2 linked regions of the Oryctolagus cuniculus genome follow. The protein of the gene in region 2 purifies or fractionates together with the protein of the main gene of each other region. This does not show direct contact. Links are inferred from orthologs where the notes say so. Each region holds a gene or a part of one and is shown on either strand. Other genes may lie near its edges.

Evidence for each region. The genes of interacting proteins can lie anywhere in the genome.
Region 1: the proteins of MZT1 (region 2) and tubulin gamma-1 chain purify together in Homo sapiens (affinity purification with mass spectrometry; 4 studies listed by BioGRID and IntAct, counting the BioPlex papers as one, with this or other methods). This does not show direct contact. The link is inferred for Oryctolagus cuniculus from reciprocal best matches to the Homo sapiens genes MZT1 and TUBG1.

What each region holds. Positions count from the first base shown.
Region 1 is NC_091448.1:20,272,718-20,276,963, reverse strand, and holds the start of tubulin gamma-1 chain, read left to right. Parts: upstream 1-1,446; 5' UTR 1,447-1,638; coding exon 1,639-1,687; intron 1,688-1,962; coding exon 1,963-2,075; intron 2,076-2,277; coding exon 2,278-2,445; intron 2,446-3,858; coding exon 3,859-3,927; intron 3,928-4,171; coding exon 4,172-4,246. Other genes in the region: RETREG3 (reticulophagy regulator 3), read right to left, coding at 1,041-1,279. UniProt on the Homo sapiens protein: Tubulin is the major constituent of microtubules, protein filaments consisting of alpha- and beta-tubulin heterodimers. Gamma-tubulin is a key component of the gamma-tubulin ring complex (gTuRC) which mediates microtubule nucleation.
Region 2 is NC_091440.1:40,016,261-40,020,263, reverse strand, and holds the start of MZT1 (mitotic-spindle organizing protein 1), read right to left. Parts: upstream 2,801-4,003; 5' UTR 2,630-2,800; coding exon 2,551-2,629; intron 1-2,550. Other genes in the region: BORA (protein aurora borealis), read left to right, coding at 3,014-3,046, 3,913-4,003. UniProt on the Homo sapiens protein: Required for the recruitment and the assembly of the gamma-tubulin ring complex (gTuRC) at the centrosome.

The sequences.
Region 1 (4,246 bases), on a different chromosome or scaffold from region 2:
TCTGCGAGAGACAGCTCTGACACCTTTAACTTGGGGCTCTTGCAGACTGGGAGAGGATTCGCTTCGAAGCTGAACACTGCCTTCCCCGCCAACGAACGTGGAATTATTTGCTCTCCAGCTCACACGCTTTAACTCGAAAATCGAGAATTCCACTGGAAAGCTAGCTTTAAAAACACACACTTTGTTTCAGGCTTGTCCCAAATGGTTTTCATTCAGTTGTCCATGCCAGTTCCCCTGGAGTTGGATCCGTAATACCTCCTTAGTTATTATTAAGTTCAAATTATGCTCGGTACAGCCTATGAACACACAAGTCCCCTGCAGGTGACCAGAGAGGAGTTGTTCGGAGAGCAGGACGCAGCGGTGCCAGTGTCGGCTCTGGTAACGCGCACACACCATCAGCTACCCTCCACCTGCTCGCTTACAAATGCTGGCTGAGGACGCCTCCCTCCCGCGTCCCCCCCACAATCACCAGCTCATCGGTGTCTCTGTTTTGTTTAAAGCTCTGGAGGTTCACACCGAGACGCGGGTTTCACCAACTTCCAGAAGTGGGCGAGCAAACCTCGAACATGCTAATTCACGCGAAGCGCTCCAGCCTGTTTGCTCCCCACACCTCCATCCGGCGCCCGTGCAAGACCTGCCTCCACTCCCGACAGGAACGACTGTGTCCGGGGCCGGTCTGCGCGGCGCCCCTGAGCAGACGGGGAAGGGGAGGCGATGGTCTCAGAGGACCACAGCGCTCCCGAGCTAGGAAGGCGCCCTCGCACAGAGCGAGCGGCTCGAGAGCGTCCCCGCAGCTGCTGCCGGGTGTGCGGGCCGAGGGCGCGGGTGCGGGTCAAGCAGGGGAGACAGCTGGAAGGGCCCCCGGGGGGAACCGGGGCGCCCAAGCCTGGAGGCGGGATGCAGTGGAAGGGGGCGAGGTAGAGAGGCAAGTGCAGAAGGGGCCAGTGCAGCGAGGACAACAGGGCAGGCAAGAGGCAGCGCCCTACGGAAACCTGACGGATTCGCGCCTCGGGGAGTTCCCGAGGGTCCAGTTCTCTCACCAGAAAGCCGCGTTCAGCCCCAGGCACCACAGGGCGCTCCTGGCCGGCCGCTCCCACACCAGGGCTGCCTGCACTCGGCTCAGGAGAGGCTCGTAGGGCCCCAGCACCTCCACCAGGGCCCGTTGCACCGCCTCCACCTGCTGGTCCCGCTCCCAGGAGCCTGACATAGCGCGGCGGCCCCGGAGAGCCGGCCCAGAAGATGGGCCCGGGGCCGCGGCCACCCCCTCTGGCTCCGCCATCTCCCCCCCGGCAGCCACAGCATCCGGGGCCGCGGCCCGACAGTCACAATAACACCGACTGCGCAGACGCGCGCCTTGGCGGCGGAGGCAGGCCTCCGGACCCGCGCGCTTGCGCACAGGCGCCAGCCCGCGCCCGCCGGGAGGCGGGGAGGACGCAGCGTCAGAGCGCGCCGAGCCCGGGCCGGAGCGGCGCACGCGCAGTCTGCTCGGCTGAAGCCAAACGAATAAGGAAGTTCTCATTGGAGCGCAGAAAGTTCGCGGGTGGAGCGGGTGTGCAGCGCCTGCGTCCTGCGGCGAGCGGGCGGACTAGCGGCGGCGTTGCTGGCGGGAGCGGCTGCAACGCCGGTGCCTGAGGAGCGATGCCGAGGGAGATCATCACCTTACAGTTGGGCCAGTGCGGCAATCAGAGTGAGCGACCCTCCGGCCCGTCCGCTCGCCGGGTTGCTGAGGTTCCGTGGGATCCGCCGCCCTTCCCAGAATCGTAATTCTGCGAAAGGCGGGACGTCCCTGACCCAGGGTCCGGTTGCCCTACCCCGAGGGGCCCTCCTTGCCCGGTCGCGAACGTGCAGCCCTTTTCCCCACACACGGGCGAGTCCTCACGCTGACCCCTGTTCCCAGGCGCTCGGTCCCCCAGCTGGCAATCGGAACCTGCCCAGACCCACATATCCTGTTTCTTCCCCCAGTTGGGTTCGAGTTCTGGAAACAGCTGTGCGCCGAGCATGGTATCAGCCCCGAGGGCATCGTGGAGGAGTTCGCCACCGAGGGCACGGACCGCAAGGACGTCTTTTTCTACCAGGTGCCCCCGGCGGCTGGGCCAGGACCCCGGGGGCCTGAAGGGACGGGGCAGGGGCTGGTGCTGGGGAGCCCGCTGGGCACAGGGCCCCGCGGCTGGCTCGGGGAGGGAGGCCCGGCAGGAGCCCGAGTGGGACTGGACTGGGGCCTGGGCCGGCGGTGGCGCCGGCTGACGGGGCCGCCCCTTCCCGGCCTCTCGCTGGCAGGCCGATGATGAGCACTACATCCCGCGGGCCGTGCTGCTGGACCTGGAGCCCCGGGTGATCCACTCCATCCTCAACTCTCCCTACGCCAAGCTCTACAACCCGGAGAACATCTACCTGGCTGAGCACGGAGGAGGAGCTGGCAACAACTGGGCCAGTGGATTCTCCCAGGTCATTTGCTATTCCCTGGCACCACCTACAGCTCCCTACGTGGGGAGAAGCCCTGTGACTTCCCAGAGAGATGGAGAAAGACCAGGGATGTGTGAGCGCTGGAGGGAGAGAGACACAGGCTATGGGGTTAAACGTGTGACACAGGTATCATGAGGAGCAGCCGTAGTCCTACCTGCCAGGCTCTTCCAAGCGCTTTCCATGTGCTTGGTTATGTAAAGCTCCCAGCACCTCCAGAGATGGGCACTACAGGCCCACAGCATGTGATCTGCCTTTCCGGAATCCAGAAAACTCAGAAAGTGCAGGTTTATAACTCACTTAGCAGCAAAAAACATACCTCAGTGGAAACAGGCTATTTTATAGGGTTTTTAAAAAATGTATTTGGGCCGGCGCCACAGCTCAATAGGCTAATCCTTCCCCTGCGGTGCCGGCACCCCATCCGGGTCCCAGTCGGGGCACCGGATTCTGTCCCGGTTGCCCGTCTTCCAGGCCAGCTCTCTGCTGTGGCCCGAGAAGGCAGTGGAGGATGGCCCAGGTCCTTGGGCCCTGCACCCGCATGGGAGACCAGGAGAGGCACCTGGCTCCTGGCTTCGGATCAGTGCGGTGCACCAGCTGCAGCGTGCCAGCCACAGCGGCCATTGGAGGGTGAACCAACGGTAAAGGAAGACCTTTCTCTCTCTCTCCCTCTCTCTCTCACTGTCCACTCTGCCTGTCAAAAAAAAAAAAAAATGTATTTGAAAAGCAGAGTATCATTGAGAGATGGGTAGAGAGAGATCTTCCATCCACTGATTCATTCCCCAAATTGCCCCAACAGCCATAGCTGGGCCAGACGGAAGCTAGGAGCCAGTAGTGGGAGGGAGATACCAAGATCTTTCCTGTGGTTCACTCCCCAGATGGTCACAAACAGCCAGGGCTGGTCCAGGCTGAAGCTAAGAGCCAGGAACTCCACCCTGGTCTCCCGCGTGGTGTCAAGGGCCCAACTGCTTGGGCCCTCATCTGCTTTCCCAGGCACATTAGGAGGAAGCTGGATGGGAAGCAGAGCAGCTGAGACTGCGGGATGCTGGGTCGCAGGCAGAGGCTTGGCCCACAGCACCACAACGCTGGCCCCAGTTCCAAAGACTGTAGATAAGGGCCTGTGGGCCTGTGTTACTCCTTCCATTGTATAGGTCCAGAAAAGGGCAGAGTAACCTGCCCGGAGTCACTTAGCTGCATGGGACAAGAGGTAACGTGTGAACCCAGGTAATCAGAGTGGAGGACTTGTGACCTCCGTGCTGTGTAGCCTCTCGAGGCAGGTAAAAAGGCAGCTGCGCTCCCGAAACAGACTCGGTGGTACCGGAGGGGAACTGAGGATGGCTGCTGTGTGAGCGGTGTTGTCCCTCAGTCCTGTGCACGCTGACCCTCCCCGTGTCTGCACAGGGAGAGAAGATCCACGAGGACATCTTTGACATCATAGACCGGGAGGCGGATGGCAGTGACAGTCTGGAGGTGAGTGTCGCAGGAGAGCCGGTGGGAAGGCTCGGTAGCACCCTGACGAGCCCCTGTTGGGCACAAGACCCACGTGTGTGCCCTCTGCACTGGACAGAAGCCACGGGCCTTCCCGAAGACAAGGCAGAGTCCCCCAAGCTGTAAGGGCACTGGAAGGAAAGGGAGGGCTTGAGAAGATAGGAATCCAAGAAATGATGGGATGGATCAAGTTTGAAATCCTGGACTCCGCCCCTTCTTCACGCAGGGCTTCGTGCTGTGTCACTCCATCGCTGGGGGGACAGGCTCTGGCCTGGGCTCCTACCTCTTGGAACGGCTGAAT
Region 2 (4,003 bases):
AAGATCTTAGCAGGGCTGGTGTTTTGACACAGGTTAAGCTGCATTTTGCAAAGAAGGCTTCTCGTACTGGAGTTCTCCACTGCTCCCCGTTCACGTGCCAGGGAAAGCAGATGATGGCTCAAGTACTTGGGTCTCTGCCTCCCATACAGGAGACCCAGAGACCCAGATGGAATTCCCAGCTTATGGGCTTTGGCCTGGCCTGGTCCAGCCCTGCCATCTCTCTCTCTCTGACTTTCAAATAAAAAAATAAATGTTTTAACTATTTTTAAAAAAGAAATTGGGTGGGGTGGAGGGCAGCGCTGTGGCATAGCAGGTAAAACCGCTGCCTGCCGTGCCAGCATCCCATATTGGCACCAGTTCGAGTTCTGGCTGCTCTACTTTTGATCCAGTTCTCTACTGTGGCCTGGGAAAGCAGTACGCGATGGCCCAAGTCCTCGGGCCCCTGCACCTGTATGTGAGACCCGGAAGAAGCTTCTGGCTCCTGGCTTCAGATCAGCGCAGCTCTGGCCGCTGCGCCCAACTGGGGAATGAACCAGCAGATGGAAGACTTCTCTCTCTGCCTCTGCCTCTCCTCTCTCTGTATAACTCTGACTTTCAAATAAATAGATAAATCTTAAAAAAAAAAAAATTGAGGGAAGTCACTGGAAAATAATAAAATGGGGAATATACGAAGATCAGATCAGCATTTAAAAAAAACTGCCTGAATATGTAACGGGATTTGGAAAATGGCAGAGCACCTGAGGCAAGTAAGTCCAGTTATTATAATGTTGGTGAAAGACTAGTGATAGGAGAGATTAAGACAAGTGGTCAAATCTGAGATGAGTGAAAAATTGGAAAGACTTAATGAATAACTGGATTGGATTTACTCTGCTGACAGGGCCTTGCAGGGCAGGTCAAATGAGGTGAATACACTGTGAACTCTCCTAACCTCGGCTCTGTATGATGCATTCCTTAAATTCACTCTCTGATTAAGTATAAAGTAGTACTACACTGAAGCCTTTGGGATCCTACAGCAATATAAATAAGGAACTCAAGGACAGCTAACAGAGAAGACAGGCTGGACCCAAGGCCTCAGCCTCTCCATCCTGTTAAAAATGGAAATACTCCTGCAGGCACTGTGGCACAGGTTATCCCATATGGGTGCCGGCTCAAGTCCCGGCTGCTCCACTTTCGATCCAGCTCTCTGCTATGGCCTGGGAAAGCAGTACAAGATGGCCCAAGTCCTTGGGCCTCTGCACCTCCGTGGGAGACCTGGAAGAAGCTCCTGGCTCCTGGCTTCGGATTGGCGTTGGGGAGTGAACTATCGCATGGAAGACCTCTCTCTCTCTCTCTAACTCTGACTTTCAAATAAATAAATAAATCTTTAAAAAAAAAAGAAACACTGACTTCCAAGGAAACATACAGGATAATATTACTTATACAGAAATCCTCATGTACATAAATCTAAATTCATTTATAAAATTGGTATGCCATGACACATCAATGAGGATGGAAAAATAGGCTGGATGCCGTGTCATAAAAGAAAATTCTCAGAAAACCAGCAAAGTAGATACTGGATGAGTAAGAAATGAATGCAAAGTCTCCACTAGTGTTAGGTGAGTCTTTGAAGAGGAAAGCAGCAGCCAGTGCAAAAAGTCAGAAGCCTTCATCAGAAACTCTTACATGCAGGGACTGATAGATAGCAAGTGGGACTTCCGGTGAACAAAACATTGTAGGAAGCCTGACACTCCCTAGTGAGGATTCCACAGCGGTCTCTTTTTAACAGAGATGGAAAATACCGTGGCAGACTGCAAACAGGACCTAGGACTATTTAACAGCACTCAAATCCTCTCACGCAAGGAGGCTGCAACCGGGTTGACATCTAATCCCCCTCCCCCCAAATCGATCCTCGCTATGCCTTTATCTGCTTTGTCTTTAAATAATCACAGTAACCCTGCTTCCTGCATGCCCCGGGGAGGGAGGGAGGCGGAGTGGTGAGAACACGCTTAAAGATGTCGCAGCAGTTTGTCCAAACTCACTCCGAAGGGCCGACATTGGAGGGTACAGGGTGACTTGGTCTACCACCCACGTGGAGGCTTGGCCGCCACGTGCCTCGGGGTGCCCGCGACGACGCCCACCGCATCCGGACACGCGTCACCCGCTCCAACACGCAACAGGGGCGACTCTAATAACAGATATCTAAACAGCGCCTGTCCCTGCTGTGCCAGGGGCAGGGGCCACGGCGGTGGCCACGCACACGCGGCCCACGTCCGCACAGACTTCCATCCGAAGCGTTCCGCCGACACTGGACGCGCGCGGGAAGCGGAGTGGGCGCGGCGCGCGAGCAACGGACTGGCGTGCGGGGCCGGGACGCCGCGCGCGACCAACGACCCAGGAGCGGAGAGACAACTCTGCAGGGACAGGACCAGCAGCAGCCTTGCGGCCCCGGCGAATCGCTTTCCGGGATCTTCCAAGATGCCCGTCGGGGCGGGAAGGCGACCTCAAGTCCTCCCCGGGCTGTCCTCCGCCTGGGGGCCTCGGCCAGATAAAGAGGCCACAAGGGACACTCACCGTCCATGGTCTCCCTCACTGCGTTCAGATTCGCCGCCGCGGCCGCCCCCGCCGCCCCGGAGCCGCTACTGCTCGCCATGGCAGAGACCGAGGGAGGCAGCTGCGGGCCCGACCCGGAACTGGAGCGCCTTGCTTTTCTCCCGGGCAATCACACCGCGCGTCGCCCGCTCACGCCGGGCAGGCTCCGCCCCTCGCGCTCGCCGCCAGCGTGCGGCTGCGTGGATTTGAATTTGGAGCCTCGTTCCTCTGCGCGGAATGTGGGGAGCGAGGCGTTGCCATTCGAATTTACCTCGCGGCTTGGATGTGATTGGCTGGTTCGCGGACGGCGGTGCGACGCCATTGGCCAGTCGTCGTCAGGCCCCGTGCGCTGGTTGGCCTAAGACAGCGCGGAAGCGGGGAGTTAAAGAGTCTGCGGCTGTCGTGGGAGCTGGCCTGGTCCCCTCTTGGGAGCATCCTGGAGTTGATGTTGTGGAGGGATTCCTTTTCCCACGCGCCAGTGGGTAAGTTCTTTCCTCTGCTTCCCTCCTTTCTTGACTGGAGGGCTTGCTTTTCTCGGCTTCAGGCCTGCCTGCCCGCTCGCCCCGGGGTGGGGACGGGAGCAGCGAGGGAGTGGGGTCTTGCCCAGAGGGGTTGCGCAGACAGAGCGATCGCGTGGGCCCGGGGCCGTGACACGTCCTCCCCGCTGCTCACCCGAGGAAGCCGGCTGCACTTCGCCCTTGCAGAGGCGGGATGCTGGCTTTTCTGGAGATGGAGCCCTTTGAACTGGAAGCCGTGCGGCCTCGCTGTCTCTCTCGGGAGGGTCTTGGCGACGGGAGCGGGAGGTTTGCGGAGAGGCCCCCGTCAGTCGGACTTGGCTGGCCAAGGTCTCCTGTGCGAAGAAGGCGCCCGCGCGCTGGCTTCCTCATCTGCTCGCTGGCCCACAAAGCACTGGAGTTCGGCCCAGAGTGGCTGGAGTATCGGCCTGTGGCGAATCTTGAAGGAATGGATGAGAAGCTGTAGGCAGAAGGGAAGATATTTTTCCCTGCTGGAACGTTTAGTCGCCTCGAAGGCAGGCCTGAATTCATTCCTATTTGATTGACTGCTACTTAGAAGCCTCTTAACTTCTCTAAGCTTAATTCTGCTGCAGAATGGTGGCAGTCTGGCTTCCCGGGTTATTGGAGGAGCACTCTAGGAAATGTTTAAGTAATGCTTTTTTTGGGGTGGGGTGGGGAGGAGAGAGGGTAAGCTATAAGATAGCCCCAAGAGAGTTAGGTTTGGAGTTAATCCTTTCCATGAAATGTGATTGTTCAGTACATTTTGTCATAGTCGCTGTCTGTGAAACTGTATAGTTTTGATACGGATGTTTCTGATTTTGTTTTTTAGTTTTCGCTGCAGGCTATGGGAGAAGTCAAAGAATTAAAGATGCAAATATCACCAGAAACTCCAGGGAGGATCCCTGTTTTAAATCCTTTTG